Linked DNA regions of Ovis aries. The main gene of each other region encodes a partner of the protein of the gene in region 5 in a complex. Links are inferred from orthologs where the notes say so. Each region holds a gene or a part of one and is shown on either strand. Other genes may lie near its edges. The genes, in order: PBRM1, PHF10, DPF1, ACTL6B, SMARCC2, ARID1A and SMARCD2.

Region 1 (3,500 bases), on a different chromosome or scaffold from region 5:
GAGGCCACTCGGACCACAGGCAAGGGCACATCTCGAGGGACAAACCTAACCGAGCTGATGGGCATGGTCCACAGTTTAATTTTCTTAAAAGATTTGGTTTTGGCAGAATATCGTGATTCACAGACAAAAACATCCTCATCTCGAAAATTTTCTGGGCATAATTTAAAGTATTCCTGGTGGATATAAGAATAAAATCAAGTAGGTGAATTTTCTGAAAACCAATCAACCAAAAAACACAAAAACACCAACCAAGCAAAGAAATAAAAGCTAAAGTGTTAAGACTTTTTGACAACTAACAACAAATGGTAAATGGTTAGAGATTAGGAGTATTTCCTTGTATAGAATGGCATTGCTCAGTATATTCTATTTAGCTTATTTAGTTTACCTCCCTGATGAACAGGGAGGCCTGGCACGCTGCAGTCCACGGGGTTGCAAAGAGTCGGACATGACTGAGCGACTGAACTGACCTGAAGTTTTACCAACTGCCTCTATGACAGTACATTAGTATTTTAGACAGCCAGTTCTTTAAAGCTTTGAGCCTGTGCCTATAGTAGACAGACAAACAAAAAGTACACCATAGAACCACACTGAAGATTTAATGATTCTTCAGAAAATATCATCTTTAAAAATTTGTCTGGCGATATAAAAAAATTTAAGCTAACTGCATACAGCTATATAGCATAGGCAGCAAAAGGTCTTTCACTTTTATGCTCAGATTTATTTTTCCTCAAATCTTTACATAAAGCCAGAGACACAGCCTAAAAAAATTCAAACAGTTTTAAACAGAGCTATTCATTTTGTAAATATCAATTTTCTGTGGTTGTGAAACTCCATGTAAACTCCATGAAATAATTTACTGTTTGGGGATTAATAAATTTCTTACCTTGACAAACATGACCACACATTTTCCTAGAATTTTACTAACAGGAACTTTATTGTAATAGTCACTCTTAAAAACTTCTTTTTCTAGAAATTTCCGTGTAGCCAAATGGAATGTTTCATTTGGCCGATAAAACCAACAGCCATATAACCATTTTTCACCTCAAAAACAAACAGGGAAAAAGAGGGAGAATTACCATTAATGGAAATAACATATTCTTTGTAAAATGAGCAAAGACTCCATCCATTCTGCCATGGGCTGAACCGAGCAATGTGCTTTTAGGCCATGGTTCCTTAACAGAATTACCTTAGAAGAAATAATACTAAAAATACTAAAGTGCAATGACACCTACAAATGCTACTTTCCCCCTTATAGTAAAAGATGTAAAATAAATAGAACAAGGAAGGGGATGGGACCTACTCTACTCTGCTGAGTCAGGACACAGCTAAAGCTGTGTGCTTTAATAAGGATGTAAGATATACTAAAGGACATATGTAGCACTTGGGTTAAAGAATACTAAGGTATTTTATATGATGAACAGCTGAAATAAGTGGATTGTCTGGATCACACTTCTCCTTGGTTTTGGCTTCATTAACTCCTATTCATTCTCTGTTTCAAGTTAAAGCCAACTGTTCTAGGAAGCCTTTTTGAAATCAAATTCTAGGCCAAATTCTAAGCCACATGTCTCTCTATAACAATTTCTTCTTTATTTGTGACTTTTACCAGAGGGGTTTTGCCAGGGACAAAACATAGACCTTTCGTTCTTCTGATTCTTGGCCATCCTACAGGGTTTGGCTCTCGGATTTTTTTAATAAGCATCAGTTGAATGAATGAATCTCATCTAGACTTCAAGAAGTTGTGTTTCTTTTGACTCAGCTATGCCACTGCCCAACAGTGCTCAATCCTATGTTCCTCATATAGTGGGCAGTGAATTGTACTTATTAAGAGTGTAAAACTACTACTGTGGAAAGGCATAAAATGTCTGAGTTACAATTTCCTTCCCTGAGAAACAAGGAGTAAAATAATCACATCTCACCAATTTGCTCCCCAATTTAAAATGAACTTACCAGCAGAATCTTCCCACAGCCTCTCAATACAGACGATATGAGGTTGTAGATTGACCTCTGAGGGCTCCACATAGACGTAATCTCCAACATGGTACATGCTGTTCTTAAAGCTGCAGTCCTGGCTGTATGTGCGATGTAAGCCTGAGAGGCCTGCAGCTCCTGAGGAATCTTCACTCTTTTCAGCTTCTTAGGTAAAAAAGAGAAAAATGTTCTCATGAAAGGGATGTGGCAATCAGATGCAGGATTAAAACTACACATACTAATACATTTAATCCTTTTCCAGATACTCCAAGGCAGGATTCAGGACAAATAGTATGATATCCACATTCCCAACAGTCTCTACTCAAAACTGTCTTTTTAAATTACAACCAATTGCCACTAATTTAAATACATACATAAAGTATCTACAGAATAAAAATAATCACCATAATAATATATGCTCATTGTAGTCATTTTGGATGATACAGGAAGGTATAAAGAAGAAAACAGGCCACTCATAAGTCATGTGATTCTAGAGATAATCTTGTATGTACTTTCTTGCCATCTTAATACCACTGAAATTTCTTTCTCCTGTTATTACATGGTTATGTCACAATGAATGGAATCTTAGAACTAACGAGACATGAATTTCATTCAACATACTGTAAACTATATATGAAAAGTATTAGTCACTCAGTCGTGACTGACTCTTTGCGACCCCATGGACTGTAGCCTGCCAGTCTCCTCTGTCCGTGGAATTGTCCAGGCAAGAATACTGGAGTGGGTTGCCATTTCCTTCTCCAGGGATCAAACCTGTGCCTCCTGCAATGCAGGCAGATTCTTTACTGTCTGAGCTATCCGAGAAGCCCAGATACTATATCTTTATACACTTAATATCATAAAAATTTCCTCTGAGATCAAATGCTTTTCAAGATTTTTAGTTTTGCTAAAGCATATTTTTTAATGGCTTCTATATCATAAAGCTGGAATTAAGATTGCCAGGAGAAATATCAACAACCTCAGATATGCAGATGATACCACTCTAATGGCAGAGAGTGAAGAGAAACTAAAGAGAATCTTGATGAGGATGAAAGACAAGAGTGAAACAGTGGGCTTATAAGTCACCATTCAAAAAACTAAGATCATGGCATCTGGTCCCATCACTCATGGCAAATTGATGGGGAAAAAGTGGTAGCAGTGACAGATTTTATTTTCTTGGGCTCGAAAATCACCATGGATGACTGCAGCCATGAAATTAAAAGATGCTTAATCCTTGTAAGGAAAGCTAAAACAAACCTAACCAGTGTATTAAAAAGCAAAGACGTCACTTTGCCAACAAAGATCTATATAGTCGAAGCTATGGTTTATCCAGTAGCTATGCATGGATGTCAAAGTTGGACCATAAAGCAAGCTGAGCGCTGAAGAACTAATGTCTTCAAACTGTGATGCTGGAGAAGAGTCTTGAGAGTCCTTTGGACTGGAAGGAGATCAAACCAAACAATGCTAAAGGAAATCAACCCTAAATATTAATTGAAAGGACTGATGCTGAAGCTCCAATACTTTGGCCGTCTGAT
Region 2 (3,500 bases), on a different chromosome or scaffold from region 5:
TTTTGATCATCTTACTCTAAAACGCTCCTTCAAAACACCTTCATAAGCCCATAAAAAGCAGACTGACACCCACCAGACTGAACCTGTGCATTTTACTATCACCATTCAAAGCGCAACCCTGCAGCTAATGCTGCTCCTTTCGCGACGATCTTAAACCCCCACATATGAACGAGGCTGCTCACCTCTCACCCAACCCTCTGAAGGAGAAGGGGCAGCCAGCAGAAAGAAACGCTGAAAGTAATACTATTGCTGACAGTATGCTACCCGACTGAGAATAACTCGATCAAAAAGCTAGTAAGTTATTGCTAAGCCAAGTCACCTTGCCAGATGATGTGTGAATCCTTCTCACAGAACTGCACAGGCTACTCACCACGGTGAGGCTACGAAAGCACCACATTTTACTACTTTCCATCGCAGAGTTAGCTGAATTTGGCAAATGGATCAGATAATTCTCAGACTGAACCCAGATCATTAATGAAAGGCACCACAGAAACGCAACTTTTCTATGAGGACTTCCTCCCCAGTGCACTGCTCGGTGCTGCTAAATACCAGGAAGCTTTCCGAGTCAGACAACGATGATTTTTACACTGAGAAAACAAAGTATTCAGCTCTGCCTATTAGATCACTTTTCAGAGACTCATACTTGCCTAGTTAGTACATAAAAAACGATTCCCTTGCCAGTCTCACATATACAGGAAACAGACGCTGACCCAGAGCCCAAGTGACGGAAAAGCCACCAGGAAAACAGAGCGAGAAGAAGGCTGGCAGAGGGCACACCCCGCGGGAGGGGAGCGAGGACGGGCAGCAGCAGGGGCACCGCAACTCTGAAACTCAGAGGCAGAGTGTCTCAGGGAGAGAGGCTGGTCAGAAGGAAGCTGAGTCAGGGGCTTTTTTCTTCTACCTTGTACCCAGGAACTGACTTGGACAGTACAGAGCGTTTGGAAGCATCTTTGCGTGGAGGGGCAGCCTTGTCCTTGGGCCTCTGTCTTCCTTGCAAAGGCTCCTCCTGGCCTTCGGGAAGGCCTTCCCCCTCGGACACGTTGCCAGAGGAGCTGTCCTGCAAGTCAAAGGCACAAACACAGGTCCCTTGGATTCATGCAGATTTGAGTCTGAATTCTGAAAACTACAGAAAACATCCAAAAAAAGTTTTAAAGTTCCATCAATTTCAAAATAAGATAATTCCGATCTAAGAAAACACTTCCAGCGGAGAGTAAGATAAGTCATGTTAAGAATCATTTCTCCATCATATAAATACATTATACCTAATTCCATTTATATGAGATAGTACCTTAACTGACTTTGTTTTCTGACTGAATTTGACAAGAACATAACCATTACTTCAGTTATTAGTACACCACATAGCTTCAACACCATTTTACGATGTCACAAGGGAGCATACTTGTTTCACACAACAATATTCTTTAAAAAAACTGCTTGAAGTAAGAGTGGGCATTTTTACTAAGTAATAAAGGTCATTAAAGAAGCTCAAGCCCAGAATCGTGTCTTCATAATATTAAACTATGCAAAGCCAGTTATCGCCAAGTATTTACAACAGTATCAGACATATCAGGTTGGTACAAAAGTAACCGAATCGTTGAAATTTGCCTTTGATATTGGAGTGCATTCTTAAATAAATGTGGTTATGTCGCACATCGTTTTAACGTTCACTTCTTTATGTTTTTTTGCTAACAACATTACTTACTGTTTATATTTATTCTAGAATATAAAATAATACAAATATTTTAGACTATGGGTTTCCCTGGTGGCTCAAACAGTAAATCATCATCTCCTGCAATACAGGAGACCTGGGTTTGATCCCTGGGTTAGGAAGACGCCCTGGAGAAGGGCATGGGAACCCACTCTAGCACTCTCGCCTGGAGTATCCCATGGAGAGAGGCGCCTGGACAGCTATAGTTCATGGGGTTGCAAAGAGTCGGACACAACTGAGCAACTAACACTTAAGACTGCGGAAATAATTTTAAACAAAACCAAACTCGAGTGATTTTCTTATTTGAGTCCAAAATGGGTCATAAAGCAGAGGAGAAAACTCAACACCAACAACAGGTTTGGCCCAGGAACTGCGGACGAACACACAGTGCAGTGGTGGTCCAAGAAGTCTGCAAAGGAGACGAGAGCTCTGGAGGTGAGCAGCGCAGTGGCCAGCCACAGGAAGCTGACGGCCACCAGCCGGGAGCCGTCGTCGGAGCCCAGCCTCCCACGCAGTCTTCACTACGCAGGAAGCTGCCGAGGAGCAGCGCCGGCCACTCCACCGTCACCGGCATCTGAAGCAGACGCAGCTCCGCTCGGCTCAGCTGCTCAGTCGTGTCCGACTCCTTCTAACTGCAGCGCGCCAGGCCTCCCTGTCCCTCACCAACTCCCAGGGCCTGCTCAAACTCATGTCCATCGAGTCGGTGATGCCATCCAACCATCTCATCCTCTGCCGTCCCCTTCTCCTCCTGCCTTCAATCTTCCGAGCATCAGGGTCTTTTCCAGGGAGTCAGCTCTTCGCATCAGGTGGCCACAGTATTGGAGCTTCAGCTTCAGCATCAGTCCTTCCAATGAACACTCAGGACTGATCTCCTTTAGGGTGGACTGGTTGGATCTCCTTGCAGTCCCAGGGACTTTCAAGAGTCTTCTCCAACACCGCAGTTCAAAAGCATCAATTCTTTGGTGCCCAGCCTTCTTTACGGTCCAACCCTCACGTCCTAAGATGAACCAAGTTGGAAAGGCGACAAACCTTGATAAGTGGGCGCCTCATGAGCTGACCGCAAATAAAAAAGCACCGTTTTGGCGTCGTCTTCTCCTATCTTTGCGCAATAATGAATCATTTCTCGATCGGATTGTGATGAGCCACAAAAAGTGGATTTTACAGGACAGCGACAGCCAGCTGACCGCAGCGCTCCCCGAAGCCGACAGTGCATCACAAAGAAGGCAATGGTCACTGTTGGTGGCCTGCGGCTGGTCTAATCCACTGCAGTTTTCGGAGTCCCAGCGAAACTGTTACATCCAAGAAGTATGCTCAGCAAATCGATGAGACGCAGTGAAACCACAATGCCTGCAGCGGCGCAGGCGACACAAAGGCCCGGGTCTCCTCCAGGGCAATGTCCAACCGCTCGTCGCACACCCAGCCCTGCGAAAGCTGGAAATGGGGCTGCGAGTTTTGCCTCATCTGTCACGTTCACCTGACCTCACCAGCCAACCACCACGTCTCCAGGCACCTTGACAACTTTTTGCAGGGAAAACCGTTCCACAAGCAGCAGGAGGCAGAAAAGGCTTTCCGAGAGCTCGTCGAGCCTGAAGCACGGGGTCTACCCAGAGAAACAGACTTACTTCTTACTGATAAAAATGTGCTGCTTGTAATGGTTCCTGATTTGATTAATAAAGATGTGTCTGAGTCTACTCATAACGACTTAAAATTCATGGTCCAAAATTGCATTTACGTTTGCACCAACCTAAATATTTCGCATGTTCCAAACTTAGGAGCTCAATAATAATCTAAT
Region 3 (3,500 bases), on a different chromosome or scaffold from region 5:
CCCCAAGCTCTAATTGAAACAATAAATCAGACCCAGAAATATTACGCCCGGCCGGGAGAGAGGGAGAGATGGTTGGTTGCCATGGCAACCCCAGAGCCAGCATCCCCATGGTTGGTGGGGGGAGGGGACCGCTGAGCTGGAGATTTTCCAGAAATGCCTAATGTGCCCCCTCCCTCCCAGGCTCCTTAGCCCCCACTCCCAGGGCCCCTCACCACCCCACGCCCTGCCCGCCTGCTCACGTTTATGGTTGTTTTTCCGGTGGAAGGGCAGGGCGTGGCGTTCGGCGTTCTCCTCCCCCTCCTCCTCAGCCAGGTGGGTGTGGGTGTAGTGGTAGCTGAGCCCTGGCCGATTCTTATACCGTTTCCCACAGACTGGAGAGTGAGCAGGGAGGGCCGGTCAGCCCTCCAGCCCCTGCCGCCTCCACCCTGGCCTCCAGGATCACACCTCCCCCCCTCTGCCAGGGTCCAGAACGGGAGGGAAGGGGGCCAGTGGGGGGCAAGGTCTCTGGGTCCCACTCTCTCTCTCTCTCTTCCCCCCTCTTCAGAAGGACTCACTATCACAGACATACGGCTTGTCTCGGTCCTCCAGGGAAGCGGTGTCCTGGCGTTTCCGGAGCCCCCCGATGCCGTATGCCTGAGGGGAAAGTCAGGAGTGAGGGGCCAAGAAAGGGAAGGAACTAAAAGAATTTTCACCATTTGGACTTGAAAGCCCAATCACAGCTCTGCCACTTCCTAGCTGTGAGTCTAGAGTAACTCTCTTGACCTCTCAGAGGTTCCATTTTCTCATCTGTGCCACGTGTAGGAAGATAGCTCTAACCCCCTGTACAATCTCTGTTTTGCAAATGGCTTAATATGCCCAAGTCTCAATTTCCTCATCTATAAAATGGGTATAAAAATCCCCTACCCCTTCAAGCTGCTCTGAGAGTTAAATAAGGTAAAATTGGGGCAGGGTCTGAACACTGCATAAGCAATCAATGGAACCTGCCTTGAGGGGAAGGGTGATGGGGGGAGGTTTGGGAGTAATACCTTTCCTTTGGCCCTGTTCTTCCTCCTGGGCATGTCATCCTCTGGGTCTTCCACTTCAAGATCATGCGGAAACTCCAACAGTTGCTGTTTCTGGGCACCAGGAGAAGGGAGACTGGGGTCAAGAAACGGGGTATTGTTCTGCTTTGGGAGGTAGTTCTGGACACAGCAAAGATCAGGGGTGGCAGGGCAAGTTAGGAGGTCTTCCCAAAAAGAGATGAAGTGTGGAGGGATGGAGACAGGATGCTCAAAGGTCCTAGGGAATCAGGGGAGATTTCAGAGCAGGAGCAAGATGGGCCAGGACACAGGCCGGTTGAGAGGGCAGCCACAGCCCCTGGATGGGTGGGGGGCTGGGCAGTCCTACCTGACAGTCCATAATGGTCTCCTCCTCCTTCAGCTCTATCTTCTTCTCCCCTGTCTCGGCACACAGGAGAGCCTCAAGGACTGGCCCCTCGGGGAGGCCACCCTCCTTCTTCAGTGGCGCTTCACAGTCTGGGGACAAGACCACGGTAGGTAGAAGGGGGGTCAGGTGAAGAACTTGTCCCTGGAGGACTCCTCAGACTGCCCAGGTTGGGGAATCATGCTCTTTTCTGGAGGAAAGAGGCTTTCCCACACTCAACCAGCAACAGACTCAAATACTCAACCATCCATACCACCCTCATTACTTCCACACATCCTAAGGATGCCCAGACCCTGGAGAAGACACAGTCAGACCATCAGAGACCATTGGACATACTCAGGAGAAACATGGCTGGACCCTCCTATATAACTACATAATACAAGTAGGAGACCCCACCCAGACCCCCACAACTGGAGAGAAGAGACATTCAAACAGGACATACATGGACATACACAAGGGAGATACAGACAGATCATCTGAGACAGCCAGAAACACAAGGGAAGAGGTACACCCAGACACTCAGATACACCCAGACTCACGGAGGAGACATAGCCAAACCCTTGGGCACACTCAGAGACACTCCAAAAGAGAACATTAGACCATCAGATAAACCCAGACCACATGGGGAAAACACAACCAAACCCTACCAAACACCTGAACATACTTAGGGGAGAGACACCAGAGAATCACTCAGATGGATACTCATACACACAGGTGATACAGACAGTCCCTCTGGGACAATCAGACACACCCAGGAAGACAGAGCCAGATGGACACGCCAGTACACCTGCCTGGACCTACACAGATCCTTGGTTATACCTGAGCAAGGGAAGAGAAACAGCCAGTGACTCTATCAGTGCTGGACACATTTGAGACGTGATAAAGCCAGGCACTCATGGCGCAGCAGACACGGGCAGAAACACACCTGACACTCCAAACAGACACTCAGGGACGAGACTCTCCCAGACATTCCAGAGCATCTGGTACTCAAAGGAAGAGAGACACTCAGGAACAGATAGACCAGACACACTTAAGAGGAAATAAGCCTGGAAACACCTGAAAAGAGACACAGACACCAAGACACGCTGTACTACAAATGGAAAAAGTTACAACCAGACACTCTGACACACCCAGACACACACTCAGACATCCACAGGAAAGAACAGGCAGATACTCTGATACATCCCAACTCACAAGGGAAGAGATATACAAGGATGGGATACACCTGGACACGCAAAACAGATACCACGCTCTGCCCAGGAATACCCCTGGGTCCAAGTAGAAGACGCAGTTCAAAATACTCGGGGAAAACTGGAGAGTGTCTGTACTACCCCCAGACACACACCAGCATACACAGCCCGTCACTCAGACGTGGGCCGGGAGGGTGATAAAGGCAGATGCTCAGAGGCACAAGGGCATCAACACGCTGATCAGCCAGTGGTGTGGGCACCCACCGGGGCCACCCCAGGCACAGGACGGAGCCCCACCTACCGATCTTGTACTCGCAGGGCCGGAGTCTGGGGTCTTCCAGGATGTTGAGCCTCCGTTTCTTTCTCCAACAGCGGGCCGGGTACGTATAGATCTGTCCGGGGGCCAAACCTGGAGTAAGAAGGGCGGTAAGAACGCGGCTGGGAAGCCGCCACCCCGCCCCACCCCCGCCCTCCCGGCCGGTACCCGGGCCGCGGTGGGTCTTCTCCATCCAGATGTAGCAGTTGTTCTGGGCCACGCCGGTCTGCGAGTCGAGGAAGGGCAGGCGCAGGCTGCGCTCGGCGCACAGGCGCGCGTTGTAGCTGCGGCAGTGCTCGATGGCCTCGCGGTAGAAGTCCTCGCCTAGGCTGCGAGGGGCGGGTAAGCGGGCGGGCGGCTGTCAGCAAGGGCAGGAGCACCCGGTCGCCCAGCACCCCTCCCCCAGCCCACCCGTCGGGAATGGGTGGGCCGATTCCTCCAACCTCACCTCTCCCCTCCGGTCGGGACCCAGGAGCCCCCAACCCGGGACTCAAGCGGGCCTCGAGCCAAGGAGTGGATACAATATAGGAACAGATAAAGATACACCAGGACACATCCATTCAGGCACATAT
Region 4 (3,500 bases), on a different chromosome or scaffold from region 5:
CCAAAGAGGCCAAACTTTTTTTTTTTTTCTTAAAACATGTTTACTCCCTTTAACCCAGAAACTTCACAATCAAGAGGACAAGTGGGGAGGAGAACAAAAGGGGGCCGATGGGAACGTTAGGAGGGTGGCTGTCGATCCTGCGCTTGCAGAGCCGAGGTGGGGGAAACCGTCTTCTTCCGTTCGCTTTCCCTCCCCCACCGCTGCGGGCCGGCCTGTGGGTGGGGAGGGGGCGCCCTCAGGGGCACTTCCGCTCCACGCACTGTTTCCCGCCCTCCTCATATTCCTGCTTGGAGATCCACATTTGCTGGAAAGTGCCCTGGGTGGGTGGGGCGGGAGGGCGGTCAGGGAGGCCAGGAGGGAGGGAGAGCAGGTTCCCTATGCTCCACCCGTGGAGGTTCGGAATCTTCCCCCTCCCAAGCCCACATCCCCCCACCCCCCCGCAACCACCAACTTGCCCCATCTCCCTGTCCCCTCCTTCGTATTCAGAAGGCGGATACCCGCTTCATACCGTTCAATCAACGATGCATTCACTGAGTATTTACTGAGCACCTGTCAGTTCGGAGCCCAGGGCGGTTCGAGCTGGGAGGTGGACCTTCCAGCCGCAGGCCAGCGAACCTGCGCTGCAACACTCCATATCCCCTCTCCACCAGATACCCCGTCACTCCATCAGGCCTTACATGCCAAGTCTCCCTCCTTCCCAAGAAAAATCTTTCCTCCACCCTCCTCACCATTCTGACACCACCTAACATCAAGGTGGGGATGATGTCTTTATTTTGGCACCCCACCCCACCCCCCCACCCCCTGTTGAAATAGGGTCCGCCAGCCCTGGCACTTTAGACTGTGCCATCTCTATGATCACTTGCGTCTGCCTGAAAGTCAGTGTGTGTGTCCCTGTTTCTGGACACACCTTCCTGGACCATGTCACCTCTCCCTTGACTTCTGCTTACTGTGCCAAAGCCCCACCCTTCCCATCATCTCCAGTTTCCAATGCAGAGCTCCCTGCCGAGTTCCCGACCCAAATTCTCAACTGTCTTTCAGACAGCTTCCTGGTCCTCAGTGTCTCCTGGAACCTCACTCAGTCAACATATCCATGACTGCTGTCACCATCTTCGCCCAGCCCTGCCTCAAACCTGCTTCTTTGGTCTTTCTCGCCTTCTACAGTTGCCCTGTCCAAATCCAGTGGCCCCTTGCCACGTGGAACACTTGAAATGGAGCTATCGAGCACGTGAAATGCAGCTAATCCAAGATGAAATGTGCTCTCGGTGTCAAATCTGCACTGGATATTGAAAATAAATCCAGAGGATGTGAAACGTCTCACATTTTATACTAATTGACGTACTGATAGTACTTTGAATAAGTAAGTGTGTTAGGCGCTCTATCATGTCCGACTCTTTGCAAACCCATGGACTGCAGCCCACCAGGCTCCTCTGTCCATGAGATTGTCCAGGCAAGGATACTGGAGTGGGGCGCCATTTCCTTCTCCAGGGGATCTTCCCAACCCAGGGACCGAATCCGGGTCTCCTGCACTGCAGGCAGATTCTTTACCTGGGTCTCATCCTTGACCCCTTTCCTTCTTACCTCTCGTATCCAAACGGTGCCCACATTCTCAGTCAGACCTCTGATAAGCTCCCAACCCTCTCTCCCCTACATCCACTCTGCTGGCGACCCCGGGTCACAGTGGAGACCGCGGTAGCCCTCTCCAGCCCACTCTCTGCTCTGTAGCCCAGCTTGTGTGCTTAGTCGCTGAGTCGTGTCTGACTCTGTGTGACTCCATGGACTGTAGCCTTCCAGGCTCCCCTGTCCACGGGGATTCTCCAGACAAGAATACTTGAATGGGTTGCCACGCTCTCCACCAGGGGATCTTACCAACACAGGGATCAAACCTAGGTCTCCCGCATTGCAGGCAGATTCTTTGCCATCTGTGCCACCAGGGAAGCCCAGGTGAGCTTCCTCAACTCTGGCCCCACAGCACCTACCCCCTGCCTGTGGCCTTGCCTGGCTCTCCCCTGGGGCCACACACGCTCTCCTGCTTTGCCTCCTGAGTTCTCACTCTTCCATCTCAGCCTGAAGGTTCCTTAGAGGCCCCTCCTGATGCCTGAATGAGATCAGGTCTTCCTTTGAAGGAACACCCCACACTTTGTGGTGACCTCCTCTTTGACTGTCTTGGCTTCCAGACTGTCCCCATGCACGAAGGCAGGGATGAGGTCGGGCTGTCTGTCCAGGCGTGCAGGAGGCTTGCCACGACTGTGCAACTGACACTTTCGCAACCCTGAGCTATCTTCGGGGGGTCAGTCTTCTGTCACTCTGACCCTTGCTTCTGTCCCTTTGGGGGCACCGCCTCTAGCTGATATCATCCTTGTCCTGTCATGACCCTGCTGTCCCCCTCTGTGTAGCTGACACTCATCAGATGCAGTCTGCATCTTTACCTCTCTGCTCAACGTCTTGCCCCTGCCCCAGCAGCTGCTCCAGACTGAATTCCCCACCTACCACCACAGAACCACCCTGACTGCTGCCTTCGGTTTGTCCCTTGCTCACCACCCTATGCCCACTGCTACCCATCCCGTGACTCTAGGACAATAGAAAGAGCCTCCCGCCAAGGTCCCCTTGAATTCAGCTCATACCCCCATCCCCAAAGTCTCATGTCGGACATAACCTTCCCAGTCATGCCTGTGGCCATCAGATCCCCTTGCCCCAAACCTCTAGGGGCTCACCCTGGCACACAGACTACCACAATCTCATCCTAGCCAACCTGTCCAGCTTCCTGTCCTCCACTCCCTGCTTTGTGTCCTGAGATCGCATTCACCTTTCTGGGAGCACTGACTGCCCTTTCATAAACAATGAGCGAATGAGGTGGTAGGCAAGGTGGTGGGGCGGTCTGGATCTACCCCACATTCAGCACTAGGCCAGGGCCCTCCTCTCTCACCAGTGAGGCCAGGATGGAGCCCCCAATCCAGGGGCTGAACTTGCGCTCCATGGTGCTGTTGCTGGCGATGAGCTTCAGCCTCATGCTCTGGGAAGAAAGAAGGGCTAGGGGAAGCAGACACCTGGTTCTGGGAAGTGGGAAGGGACAGGGCTCGGAGTGGCGAGGCCATAGCGGGAAGGAGCCGCTTTGGTGGCCAGAATACTGGCTCAATGTGTGGGAAGGAGGAAGGACTTGGTGCTGAGGGGCTGGCCCAGGGCCCTGGCCGAGGGTGGGCTCCTACCGGTGGAGTCTTCTGGGAAAGCTCTCGATTGAGCCTGTCAGTGAAGCCCTGCAGGAGCGTGTTCCCACCGGTGACAATGACACTGCCGTAGAGGCCCTGAGAGCAGGGAGGAAGAGTGAGCGATCAGGGCACAGCCCCGCCCTGGCACCCACGCCCCCACTTCTCCTGGACCCCTCCACCCAGAGGCAGGCTTGGGCCTCACCGGACGAATGTCAATGTCGCACATGCCGATGCTGGTGGTCACCACGTGGCCCACCCCTAACATGGTGTTCCCCGACAGGCCCTGTGGAGAAAGGT
Region 5 (3,500 bases):
CTGCGTACTTCAGCTGCTCCATGTGGAAGGCTTGCCTGTCGGCCAAGAGCTGCTGCCTCTGGTACTCCAGCTGCCCGGGCCGACGGAGAGCTGTCACCCGGGGGCTGGAGACCCCAAAGGCACACACCTTGCCCCCTGCTTTGTCTTCTGACAAGCCCAGCCTCCCATTCTGGCGATCCCCACACCAAACCTCAGCCTTGTGCTTGGCTTCCGCTGTTCTCGCCTCCCCTCCCCTCTCCAGTTCCCCCCACCAGGTCTTCTGGCTGCCCACATGGCTTCTCACTGCAGTGGACAAGTGGACTTAATCTGGTGGTAGCCTTTGTTCATTTTCAGCTCCAAAGCTTTGAATTTGTCATTACTTTCATCTGGAAACCAACCCCTACCCCACCAACCAACCAAGTTCCTCTAGTCAAATCATGTTCTTTCCCTCCTTCAAAACTGAAGAAAAACTCACAATTCTTAGGAAGCCCTCCCAGATCACCTCACTAGCCTCTGAACTTTGGCCTTTATTCTGCTCTCACTCAGGATTTTTATGCTTGATTGGAAATCTCTCAATTTTCATTTGTCAGATGCTTGAAGCATTAGCCAACTTTGACGTCTCCATATTGGATATCTGATATCTTCAATTGAGGAGTTCAGGATCAGAGTCCTTATCTTCTACTTTTATATCTTCTAAGAATCAAAATGAGTCGACACCATGTCCATCCTGTTCCCTTTCCAACTTTAACCCCTGGCTCTGAAGCCCTTACCCTCTCATCATGCCTTAAACCTGTTTAATCACTCAACAATCACTCCACAGCCAAGTCTACCGTGGACTAAGCACCCTTTAAGGACCTGGAGATGTGGCAAACTTGACCCTGGGGCTGACATTCTGTGGGACCTCAGTCTCCAGGCTGTACCTGTGGGTCACTTGTCCCTAACCGCCCAGGCTGGCTCCTCCTGCCCTGGTCTGGGCTGGTCTGCTCTGCTGTGATACTGTCAGCCTCAGGTTCTCTGTATTGCTGCTCTCCTTGCCCTAAACTGCGGCCCAGCCCACTGCCAAGGTGGGGCCCCGCCAACCGCCAGGGGACTCGACTCACTGCTTCTCGCTCCCGGTCCATGATCGTCTCTAGCTCCTCAAAGTGCCGGAGTTTGATTTCCAACTTTTTCATCTGGGTCTCTACCAGCAGGGCCACCAGAGATTTGATCTTCCTCTCCTCAACGGCAGCCAAGTGCTAAGGAAGGAAGGGTGGGGTGGCCATCAGTGCGAGGACCCAGCTGAAGACACTGGGCAACAGAGAAGGGTGGTGTGGGGGCTGACAGGCTTTAAGACAGAACTTGCTGTGGTCACAACCCAGAGAGTAGCGCAGGCTTGAGTGGTGTTTTTAAAAGAACATGAAAAAAGAGAGGATATCAAAGGATAAGGAAAGGTCAAATAATTGAGAGGGTGGAAACAGGCCCAATCAGGACTTCCCTGGTGGTCTGGTGGTTAAGAATCCACCTTCCAGCGCAGAGGAAGTGGGTTCGATCCCTGGTCAGGGAATTAAGATCCCGTAGGCCGTGGGGCAACTAAGCCCACGTGCCCCAACTGCCATAACCAGAGCCCGTGAGCTGCAATTACTGAAGCCCTCTCGCTCTGGAGCCTGCGCTCTGCAACGAGAGAAGCCCACATGCTGCAACGGAGACCCAGTGCAGCCAAATAAATAAATAAACTGCGAGACAGGCCTAATGATAAAGGCTTAAAAGAGGTAAGAGGTGACCAAGCGTTCCTCTCAGGATCCAAAGGGGACAGGAGACAGGCCAGCACTGGGTAAGGATGACAAGGCAGGCTTCCCTCCAGGTACCGTGCGATGAGGAGCAGCACCTCCTTCCCTGGGGCTGAGGCCTTACCTTGGCCTTCACGGCGGCAGCAGCCAGGGCGGCGGCGGCGGCGGTGGAGAGGTTGCCCTCGCCAATGTCGCGCTCCACCTTCGTCTTCCTCTCCCCCTCTGACTCCACCACTTCGTTCAGCACCTCCTCCTGCCCTTCCTTGGGCTCCTTCTCCTTCTCAGGATCCGCTGGGCCAGGAAAAGGGTCGTGAGCCCTAGAGCCTGGCTTCCTTTCTGAACCCCAACCACCACGTGAGGCTCACCTGTCGGGTCTCCGTCACTCTTTTCTGACTCCTTCTCGCTGTCGCCATCTTTCCCTTTCTCATCGTCCTTCTTGGGTGCCTCACTGGTCTTCTCCTTTGCTTCTTCCTCCACAGTCCCAACTCCTTCTCGAGGTTCCTGGAGTCCCAGGGAAAGGAAAAAGGGGAGTGTCAGGGTGCTGGTTCGCACACAGCGGGCCCAGACCAGGAGCTGAGTTTACACCTCTTATCTGGGAGAGGGCCTGGATCCAGGCTGCGAGCCCCATCCAAGCCCAGCCCTCGCCTGCCCAAGCTCAGTGGAGCCGGCTCCCCTTCCCTGGTCCACGCTGGACCCCTTTGCCTTCCCAGCCCGTGTCAATCCCGCTGTACCTTGGGTTCCTTCTTATCCTCTGTGGCCTGGCCCTCCGCCCGTGCCTCATCAGTCCCGCTCTCCTCTGGGTCCAGGGGAAGAGGAAACAGGAGATGTCTGACAGTTGGTCTACAACACTCTTCCAACTGCCCCTTCTAGCCAAGATCTTACTGAGAGGACCAGTGGGGAGCCACGGTACCTAAAGTAAAGCCCTGAGGAAAATGAACACCCCACCAACTCACCCCATCCGTCTCATGCTCTGAGGTCAGGTGGAGGCAGGGATGGTATGGGGAGGCCAGGCGGCTGAGGCTGCTGGTAAAAAGGGAGGAATTGGGGAACACGGCAAGCCTTACCGATCCTCTCCGGCTCATCGGAGGTGGTCCCTGCGATGCCACTGCTTTCCAGACCAAAGGCTGGGTCTGCCTTGCCTGTCACTTTGGCGGCTTCTTCCACTTTCCTAACGTGGGCCTCCACCAAAGCTGTGGGTACCTCTTCCTTCATTTTGGAGAACTCTTCTGTAAGACCCAGAGAGGGGGAGGCTGGGAGCAGGCAGGTAGGCAGTTCTGGCACTCTCTGTGAGAGCTCCCTCACAAACCCAGCTCTTCATCTCTGCCTGCGTGGAGCTGGACCGTTGCCTGGGCTGATGCCAGCCGCAGACAAGGCCAGTAGGGCAGTGAACTTGAGGGGGTTCCACAGTCAGAGTACCCAGCCTTTCAAATGCAAACCAAGAGGGATGGGAGCCCTGCGCGTTACCTAGGGCTGACTTCGCAGCAGCTGAGGCCACTCGAGGGTCGACGACAGAGGCCAAGAAGGCAACGGTGCTCATCACGGGGTTGCCTGACTGGCTGAAGGGGATGGGCTGGTAGGCCAGGGGGCCCAGGGAGGCCTCTGAGTCCTCCAGGTACGGGTCTTCGATGGGAAGCCGGAGAAAATGCAAGATGCATTCATCCTGTGTGCGGCTTCCCACGTGCTCTGACACTTTGTTCCAGTCATCTTTGTACATTTCCAGTGCCTGGTGGTGGTGGTGGAGACACAACCTCACTT
Region 6 (3,941 bases), on a different chromosome or scaffold from region 5:
AAAGGCAGATAGTGGCAGCGATGGTTTGGGTTATCACTGGCAGAAAAGCAGAGTGTAAAAGTTTATGAGCTCATCAGGATTGTTGTACCATTACATCAGAGGCAATTATAAATGGCCAAGAGCAGGAGATGGGGAGCCAATCAGATCACAGATAGGATGTCAACCTAAGACCAACTGTCTCCTGGCTTTGACAGAAGGATTTTACCTCCATAATTCAAATCCCAAACCAAAGCAATCTGCACTTACTACTCCAATCACTCAGCTGTTTACCAGCACTTCCAGGGAGAAGCCCAGGCCACTGGGCCGACGGAGACTAAGACAGGAGACGACCTGGGCTGCCCAGGGTGAACCGAAGCCGGGCTCTAGCTGCTCCCAAGCAGGCCCCTGCCCTCCCTCGAGGTCCCCCCGAGCCCGAGGGGCCCCCTCCTTGAAAGCACAGATGGGGACCGGCCTAGAGGAAGGTAGGGAGGGCAGAGAGGAGCGGCAGGTGAGCAAAGAACTGTTCACTCAACTCCCGACCTCCGAGGGCTGCCTACACCCCTAACCTGAGCCCCCAACACCCCCTCACCCCGGGCCGGGCCCTTTTCCCGCACACCCGGCTCCGCACCCCTCTGAAGACCCCCCGGAGCTGGAAGGGACCCGGGGAGGAGGAGGAGGGGAGCAGACACCTCAAGGAAAGCCCCACACAAAGGCTGAAGGAGGGAAAGAGAGGAAGGCAGACGGGCAGCCATTTTAAGAGAGAAAGAGCGAGACAATGGCAGCTCCCCAGCAGTGGGGGCCCCAGACTGGGGGTAGCCCACGGCCGTGGCCCGCTCCCCGCCGCCGCCATCCACTCCCAGGACCCCCCCGCCCCACTCGCCACAGCCCCCCCTACCCCACCAGCCGTGTTACCTGCGGGGTCCGGGCGAGCGGCTGCCCCCCGCCGCCGCTGCTCCCAGGGCTCATGGGCGCGTGGTGGCTCCTTTGTTGGGCCCCTCCCGAGGCGGCCGCGGCCGCCGCCGCCGCAGCAGCAGCAGCCCCCCAGCACTGAGAGGCCATGTCCGCCGGGCCCTTGCCGGCGCCCCCGTCCTGGGGCCCGCCGCCGTAGTCGCCCCCGGGGTAGCCCTGGTAGCCCCGGGCCGAGCTGGGCGACGTGAGCAGTTGGTTGAGGGTGGGGGTGGCGGTGGGCTGGGGGGTTCCCCCTGCGGCCGCTGAGGGGCCGCCTCCCCCCATGGCCCCGAAGCGCTGCTGAGCGAAGGACGAAGACGACGAGGAGGCGGAGGCGCTGGAGGAGGGAGGCGGCTTGGAGCCGGCGGCCGCCGCCGCCGCCGCGCCGGAGCCCGGAGTGCCACCTCTCGGGGAGCTCAGCGCGTAGGCCTGGGGGGGCGGGGGGTAGGCGCTGCGGTTGGGGTAGTAGGAGTTGTACTGGTGGTTGGGGAAGCCGTGGTCGTGCGAGTTCTGCTGGGGCCCCGCGTAGGGCTCCAGGCCCCCGCCGCCGCCGCCGCTCTGCAGCGCTGCCAGGCCAGGGCTTTGTTGTCCGCCATGTTGTTGGTGGAAGACGGCGGCCGCGGCGGCGGCGACGGCAGACGGGCTCCGGCCGTAGGGTTGCCCGAAGCCGTAGGCTGGGGGCGGCAAGGCGGCCGCGGCTGAGTGAGGAGGCGCCCCCACCCCGTCGCTGCTGCCGCCGCCACCGCCGCCGGGCGGCTCCGTGAGGTTATTGTTCAGGGCGGGCCTAGGGCCCGCGTTCCCGTTCGAGTTCTTCAGGTCCGGCTCCGCGCCGGGCCCGCCGGCTCCGCCGCCGCCGCCACCCCCATTGCTCTCGGCCCCGTCCTGCAGCTCCTTTCCCAGTGGCTGCGGCGGCCCCACGGCGGGGCCCTCGCTTTCCTGCCCGGCGGCTGCCTTCATTTCCCCGCGCTCCGCCGCGACCGCCGCCGCCGCCTCGCCCCCCGCCTCCTCCCGCTGCTGCTGCTGCTGCTGCTCCGCTTTCTTCAGCTCCGAGGGCGGCGGCGGCGGATTGCCCAGGCTGCTGGCGGCGGCGGGGGCGACCTGCGCGGCCATGATCCCCGCTGTCTCGTCCGCGGAGAGACCCGGCCCTGTCTTCGTCTTCTCTCACCCCCCTCCCACCCCACCCCGCCCCGGGGCCGAGTCCCCCCGGGCTTCCCTCCCCACCCGCCCGGGCGGGCCTCGCGGGGCTCCGCGGCTTTTGCGCTGCGCTCGCTCGCTCGCTCGCTCGCTCGCTCCTCTCCCCCCCGCCCCGCCGGCTCAGGCTCCGGGCTGGCGGCGGCGGCGGAGGAGGAGGAGGCGGCGGCGGCGGCCGAGGCGCCGGCGGCTCAGCTGCTCCCGGCTCTGTAAGCTCGGGACCCGGCTCTCCCGGCTCATTCCCCCCCAAGCCCTTGCCTGGGAATGAGGGGGGCGGTGGAGGCTCCGCTCCCCAGGGCCTGGCCCCGCTGTGACTCTCCGCTTTCTGCTGCCGGAGAAAGGAGGGAGGGAGGGAGGGGAGGGAGGGAGGCGAGGGGGAGGGGGCGGGGAGGGAGGGAGGGAGCGGGGGGAGGGGGACCCGGGACGGGCGGGCTGGAGGGCGCGCGGCAGCAGCCCGGGCGCCGGCAGGCAGAGTCGGAGCGTGGGCCGGGCCGGGCGCCCTGCCTCCCCTCCCCGGCCGCGGCGCCGGGCCGAGGCTGCTGCGCGGCGGCGAGCGGGCGAGCGGGCGGGCGGCCGGACTGAGCGGCTAGAGCGCCCCACTCTCCTCCGAGTCCCCCTCACTCCGACACGAGGCTCAGCACTGCCATTTTACCCAGCGCCGTCGCGGCCGCCTGGCAAACCCGGAACGGAGCGCGGAGCGGGGCGCAGGCCGTGGAACGGACTCGCTCCCTTCCCCTCACAAAGGAGGAGGGGAGAGAACCAGCCGCGGCGGCGGCGGCGGCGGCGGCAAGCGCTCTGCCGCTCTCGCTCGGCAGCGCCGCCGCCGAAGGCTTCGGGGAAAACCCGGCCCGGAGCTCGCGCCTCTCCGGAGCCTGCGCGCCGCCTCCCTCCTGGCCTCCCTATCCAGGTCGGTCCCCTTCGCGCCGCGGGCAGCGTGAACTTTACTCGCGGCTGCAAAATTGGCCTGAGCCCGAGACCGCGGCCGCCTCGGCCCAGGCCTGACCCCCCCTGGCAGCGGGCCTGGTCTCTTGGCCGCTACTTAGCATCTCCGCGGCACTTTTCCTTCTTCAAAGCCTTTTGCAGACCTGCTCCAAAGACCCAGCTGAGCTTTACGTTGTATCCTCTTTGCAAGCTGCATGGAATGACAGATCATTGTTTCAGACTTTCCGTTTTCCCACTCTCTGCCCTCATTAGCCGGTCCTCACAGGCCCTGGGGGCACGAAGTTCCTGATCCCCATTTTACAGACTCATAAGATAGCGAAGGGGACCGGCCTATCACTTAGTCTATCACTTACAAAGACAAGGGCAGTGGAGGGTGACTTTAAAAAGTAGCAGAGTCCCCAGTGCTGCCCCTGTCTACTTAGCGTTAGAAATAATAGTAATAAAAAGAAAAGTGGTGCCATATACAACAGTGGGATCAGAACATCAGAATGGGTTTGAGATTCAAGCTGGTCATCTCAACCGATATAAAATGGTCACCCCTGAAGATATTTTGGGGACATATGACCGCCTTCTTGGAGGAAGACACAAGCCCCACCTTTGCCCACAATGACCAAGGTCCCGTCTCCAAAGACAGTACCTGTAAGACTGTAACAGACCACAGAAGAGACTCCAGGGACTGGTGGAACCTGAGTGTTCAAAGGAACCTCTGCCGAAGAGGGATGACCAAGTAGAGGGAACCGTTTTCTCCTTAAAAAGAGAGAAAAGGTGCAGTCTAACACCTCACTCAGAAAACAGATGCAGCCTAAATTTGTTTTTCTATCCTTCATTGTAAGGAATCATTAAAGTTTACTGTTACATTCTAAGAGATGCTGAATGGGAGA
Region 7 (3,373 bases), on a different chromosome or scaffold from region 5:
CCCGGGGGATCAACCTGAGAAAAATTGCTGAGCTCATGCCGGGAGCGTCAGGGGCTGAAGTGAAGGTAACAGGAGTGCCCAAGGGAAAGGGGGCAGAGGCAGGAAGCACTGGGTTCAGGGCACAGCGGCATCTCCCCCTTCTTTCCCTGCTCAGGGCGTGTGCACCGAGGCTGGCATGTATGCACTGCGGGAGCGCCGAGTGCACGTCACGCAGGAGGACTTCGAGATGGCAGTAGCTAAGGTACAGGGCCACGCCTTTCTGCCTTTGCTGGTGGTGACTCGAGCAGTGGGGTCGGGCACGTGTTCACTGGGTCTCTAACTCAAATGTTCTCTCTCCAGGTCATGCAAAAGGACAGTGAGAAAAACATGTCCATCAAGAAACTATGGAAGTGAGGCAGACGTCCTTTGTGTGGATCCCTCAAATAAAGCTCTACCGGTCAGGACCTTGAGGACTCGAGTCTGTTAATCAGCAGCTGCACTGTTCAATCACCAGGTCTAGGTACCACCAATAAACAAAGATTTATTTGGAAATTTCCAAACCTGCCAGAAGTGGCGTTTGCCAAGCCCTCGGCCCACCCTCCTTAACAGGCTCCAAAGAGCAACAATAGTCCTCCCCATCTCCCACTGCCCTCCACCGAGCACACACACACCCACGCCTCAGGCCACGCCAGAGAATTAGGGTGCCCTCTCCCTAGGAGGCGTTACCCTGGGCCCAAGAACTGGGGTGACAGCCCTCTGGCATCGCAGGAGATGATGGCGGCCAGAGCCGCTTGCATAGATTGAGAAAAGAAAATAAGGGACCCCCCAAGTAGGGCTCCCTGAAAACCCCCAACACACCCCCATAAAAAAAGTGGCTCCCGCATAGAAAATCCTGCTCCACAAATAGTGCAAATAACCCGAAGGAAAGGAAATTACCAGCAGCAAGGCTGGGCTGGTAGGAATGGCAAAGAACTTTGGTTTGGAAAGGCTAGGAAGAAAGGGAGCCATGCTCCTCTTCCTCACCCCGCTCCCTGGAGCCAGCGTGGACACTCGCCCCAAGGGGGTCTGTAAACAAGCAAAGCCAGGGGCCTCTGGTTCCAAAAGGTCTCGGTTAAAATGTCAAAGCAGAGCCTCCAGGTCCTTCTCAGGCCTGCCTGCAGGGGGCACAGGAGGCCTCTCGTGAACCCAGTTAAAGCCAATGTGTAAGTAAGAAGGCTTTGGAGGACCAAGCAACAAGGAATCCTATCACTACACTTAAGAAACTAAAGCCGGGGAGCCGAGGGTAACTGGAGATGCCCCTCACCCCCTCGTTATCCTACGTGTCTGCGCCCCAGAGGGTGGTCCCCTTCCAGGCTGAGGGCGTGGCTCCAGGCTGGGAAGAAAGGAAGGGGTCCCTGAGCAGTTAGGTCAGGCGGATTCCCAGCACCTGTTCCAGTTCCTGCCTTCGCTGCTGCACCTGGAGCAGGGACAGACCAGCGGCTCAGGCCCGGCTGCCCACCCTGCCCTCCGGTATGCCCTCCAGGCCAGCCAGGGCAGAGCCGCCTCACCTTGGCAAAGATGTGCCTCCCTACTGCTTCCTGGGCCCAGGGCTGGTGGTAGAAAGCTGCTCGTCTCTCCTCCTCCGGGTTCCCAGTCACATCAGTGATGATCTGTAGAGCACCAGGAGCAGAGCTGAACGCAATTCCCACCCCTGAGCCAGAAGAACGGTGCTGGGGACAGAACCCCCAGAGCTTAACGTGGGATCACCCTCAGGAAAAAGGGGCACACCTTGAGGTCCCGGCGCTGGGAACGGAGCCACTCCTGGATGAAGTCCTGGGGGTCAGTGCTAAAACTGAGCATGAAATCCCTCTGGGTCTTCAGCTGGTTGATGGACTCAATAGTCTCGTGGATCTGGGCAAAGGGGTACGTGTCAGACTGGCTCCCACCCCGACAAGGTCTGCTTCCAGCCCCAACCCGAAAGGACTCAGGTCCCATCCCAAGGTGCTATATAAATGGAAATGCCCGACACCTGCCCATGCTCACTGGGGGCCCAGAGGAGGTTGGGGCCCACCTTGACATCAAGGGAGGCGATCTCCTGCTGATTGGTGGTAGAGGCCAGAAAATTGCTCATCTGGGCCTTGAGCGGGTCATCCACCTCCACGTCAATGTCGTAACAGGCTGTCTTCTTCTGGTCGTTAGGGTCCACGCTACACGGCACACGGGAGAGAGCTACTTCCCTCCCGCCCGCCCGGGGCAAGACCACACACACCCAGGGAGCAAGAAACCAAACGTGCTGCTTTGCTTTGGCTTTAATTGAAGTCAAAGGCAAACCCCTGAGAGCAGCGTTCCTCCCCCTTCCCGTTTACCTGATGACGTGGTTGATGACAATCGGGTCTGGATGCTGCAGCAACCCTGCCAGCTTCATGGGAATCTCAGAGAAACGTAGTCGGCCACAGCTGAAGATCTGGGGAGGGCGCCAGAGGGTCGGTGACGCCCTGGTGGGCACATGGGGAAGTGGCCCGTCCCGGGGCGGTGTGGCGCCACAGGCAAGGCGGGCGGGGGCTGGAAGGGGAGGGGGCGGTGTGCCCGCTTACCTGGCGGAAGTAGCGGTTGCAGTTGATGTACTCGCGCTCGTGGCCGTCCTGCAGCTGGTTGTGTTTGATGTAGAGCCACAGGGCCTGCATGATGGCAGCCCTCGTCTGCGTGTGCACCCCCAGCAGCCTCGCCAGGCGGGGGTCCAGCTTGTACTGTGGGGGCTGGCATGGACAGACGGGAGTCAGAGGAGGGAAAAAAAAACCCAAAGCAGGCTAGGGCAGGGACAGGAAGGGTTTCCAATGGGCACCTGCCCCCGCCCCAGATGACAGTCCCCGTGAGCCCAGACGTGGCCTCAGGGCACTCGTCACCTGATGATCCAGCATGAGCAGGAGGGTGCACTTGACGTTCAGGTCTCCAGGCCGTTTCACCTGGAAGCCGTCTGTCTCCTGGGTGGTGGGCATCCGGTGCCACTGGCAGGAGGAAGGGGAGTCAAGCTCATCACCAAAGGGGCGGGCAACATACGCACCTGGCCCTGCAAGGGGACTGAGGCCATTCCTCTGCCCGCCGGGCACGGCACCCTGTGGTCCCAAGCCCCAGGCCCGCTCTCACCTCTACCAGGTGGTTGTCTGGCCCATACAGTTCCTTGTCCAGCTCGATGACGAGGCTCTTAAAGAAGGAAGAAAACTTCCGCTTCTGTTTACTAGGCTGGGGATGTAAAGGGGGTGAGACAGGGGTGCCATTGAAGGTTCAAGCCTAAGCCACATACTAAGCCCCGAACAGAGGAATATTGTTTCAGTCCTAAAGCTCAGGGTACTGAGGATTCTCAGGCCCTGAAAGAAGCAGGGAAAAGTGAGACCTGAGGCACAGAAAGGGTCCCTAG

Evidence for each region.
Region 1: SMARCC2 (region 5) and PBRM1 share a complex: the UniProt entries of both Homo sapiens proteins name them as parts of the SWI/SNF-B (PBAF) chromatin remodeling complex. The link is inferred for Ovis aries from reciprocal best matches to the Homo sapiens genes SMARCC2 and PBRM1.
Region 2: SMARCC2 (region 5) and PHF10 share a complex: the UniProt entries of both Homo sapiens proteins name them as parts of the neural progenitors-specific chromatin remodeling complex. The link is inferred for Ovis aries from reciprocal best matches to the Homo sapiens genes SMARCC2 and PHF10.
Region 3: SMARCC2 (region 5) and DPF1 share a complex: the UniProt entries of both Homo sapiens proteins name them as parts of the neuron-specific chromatin remodeling complex. The link is inferred for Ovis aries from reciprocal best matches to the Homo sapiens genes SMARCC2 and DPF1.
Region 4: SMARCC2 (region 5) and ACTL6B share a complex: the UniProt entries of both Homo sapiens proteins name them as parts of the BAF complex. The link is inferred for Ovis aries from reciprocal best matches to the Homo sapiens genes SMARCC2 and ACTL6B.
Region 6: SMARCC2 (region 5) and ARID1A share a complex: the UniProt entries of both Homo sapiens proteins name them as parts of the neuron-specific chromatin remodeling complex. The link is inferred for Ovis aries from reciprocal best matches to the Homo sapiens genes SMARCC2 and ARID1A.
Region 7: SMARCC2 (region 5) and SMARCD2 share a complex: the UniProt entries of both Homo sapiens proteins name them as parts of the BAF complex. The link is inferred for Ovis aries from reciprocal best matches to the Homo sapiens genes SMARCC2 and SMARCD2.

What each region holds. Positions count from the first base shown.
Region 1 is NC_056072.1:48,331,430-48,334,929, reverse strand, and holds part of PBRM1 (protein polybromo-1), read right to left. Parts: intron 2,134-3,500; coding exon 1,948-2,133; intron 1,042-1,947; coding exon 884-1,041; intron 174-883; coding exon 1-173. UniProt on the Homo sapiens protein: Involved in transcriptional activation and repression of select genes by chromatin remodeling (alteration of DNA-nucleosome topology). Required for the stability of the SWI/SNF chromatin remodeling complex SWI/SNF-B (PBAF).
Region 2 is NC_056061.1:91,171,691-91,175,190, forward strand, and holds part of PHF10 (PHD finger protein 10), read right to left. Parts: intron 1,058-3,500; coding exon 902-1,057; intron 1-901. UniProt on the Homo sapiens protein: Involved in transcription activity regulation by chromatin remodeling. Belongs to the neural progenitors-specific chromatin remodeling complex (npBAF complex) and is required for the proliferation of neural progenitors.
Region 3 is NC_056067.1:47,409,509-47,413,008, forward strand, and holds part of DPF1 (zinc finger protein neuro-d4), read right to left. Parts: intron 3,258-3,500; coding exon 3,097-3,257; intron 3,022-3,096; coding exon 2,914-3,021; intron 1,515-2,913; coding exon 1,387-1,514; intron 1,116-1,386; coding exon 1,026-1,115; intron 634-1,025; coding exon 555-633; intron 372-554; coding exon 240-371; intron 1-239. UniProt on the Homo sapiens protein: May have an important role in developing neurons by participating in regulation of cell survival, possibly as a neurospecific transcription factor. Belongs to the neuron-specific chromatin remodeling complex (nBAF complex).
Region 4 is NC_056077.1:36,361,508-36,365,007, reverse strand, and holds the end of ACTL6B (actin-like protein 6B), read right to left. Parts: intron 3,487-3,500; coding exon 3,406-3,486; intron 3,300-3,405; coding exon 3,204-3,299; intron 3,011-3,203; coding exon 2,924-3,010; intron 1,311-2,923; exon of another isoform or gene 1,039-1,310; intron 317-1,038; coding exon of another isoform or gene 236-316; exon of another isoform or gene 213-235; coding exon 117-212; 3' UTR 103-116; downstream 1-102. UniProt on the Homo sapiens protein: Involved in transcriptional activation and repression of select genes by chromatin remodeling (alteration of DNA-nucleosome topology).
Region 5 is NC_056056.1:163,372,006-163,375,505, reverse strand, and holds part of SMARCC2 (SWI/SNF complex subunit SMARCC2), read right to left. Parts: intron 3,469-3,500; coding exon 3,210-3,468; intron 2,972-3,209; coding exon 2,810-2,971; intron 2,542-2,809; coding exon 2,477-2,541; intron 2,247-2,476; coding exon 2,111-2,246; intron 2,037-2,110; coding exon 1,870-2,036; intron 1,215-1,869; coding exon 1,080-1,214; intron 71-1,079; coding exon 1-70. UniProt on the Homo sapiens protein: Involved in transcriptional activation and repression of select genes by chromatin remodeling (alteration of DNA-nucleosome topology).
Region 6 is NC_056055.1:240,201,273-240,205,213, forward strand, and holds the start of ARID1A (AT-rich interactive domain-containing protein 1A), read right to left. Parts: upstream 2,801-3,941; 5' UTR 2,038-2,800; coding exon 892-2,037; intron 1-891. UniProt on the Homo sapiens protein: Involved in transcriptional activation and repression of select genes by chromatin remodeling (alteration of DNA-nucleosome topology).
Region 7 is NC_056064.1:47,807,701-47,811,073, forward strand, and holds the end of SMARCD2 (SWI/SNF-related matrix-associated actin-dependent regulator of chromatin subfamily D member 2), read right to left. Parts: intron 3,199-3,373; coding exon 3,103-3,198; intron 2,964-3,102; coding exon 2,862-2,963; intron 2,715-2,861; coding exon 2,553-2,714; intron 2,423-2,552; coding exon 2,325-2,422; intron 2,166-2,324; coding exon 2,030-2,165; intron 1,870-2,029; coding exon 1,747-1,869; intron 1,629-1,746; coding exon 1,527-1,628; intron 1,436-1,526; coding exon 1,382-1,435; 3' UTR 501-1,381; downstream 1-500. Other genes in the region: PSMC5 (26S proteasome regulatory subunit 8), read left to right, coding at 1-65, 155-241, 340-393. UniProt on the Homo sapiens protein: Involved in transcriptional activation and repression of select genes by chromatin remodeling (alteration of DNA-nucleosome topology).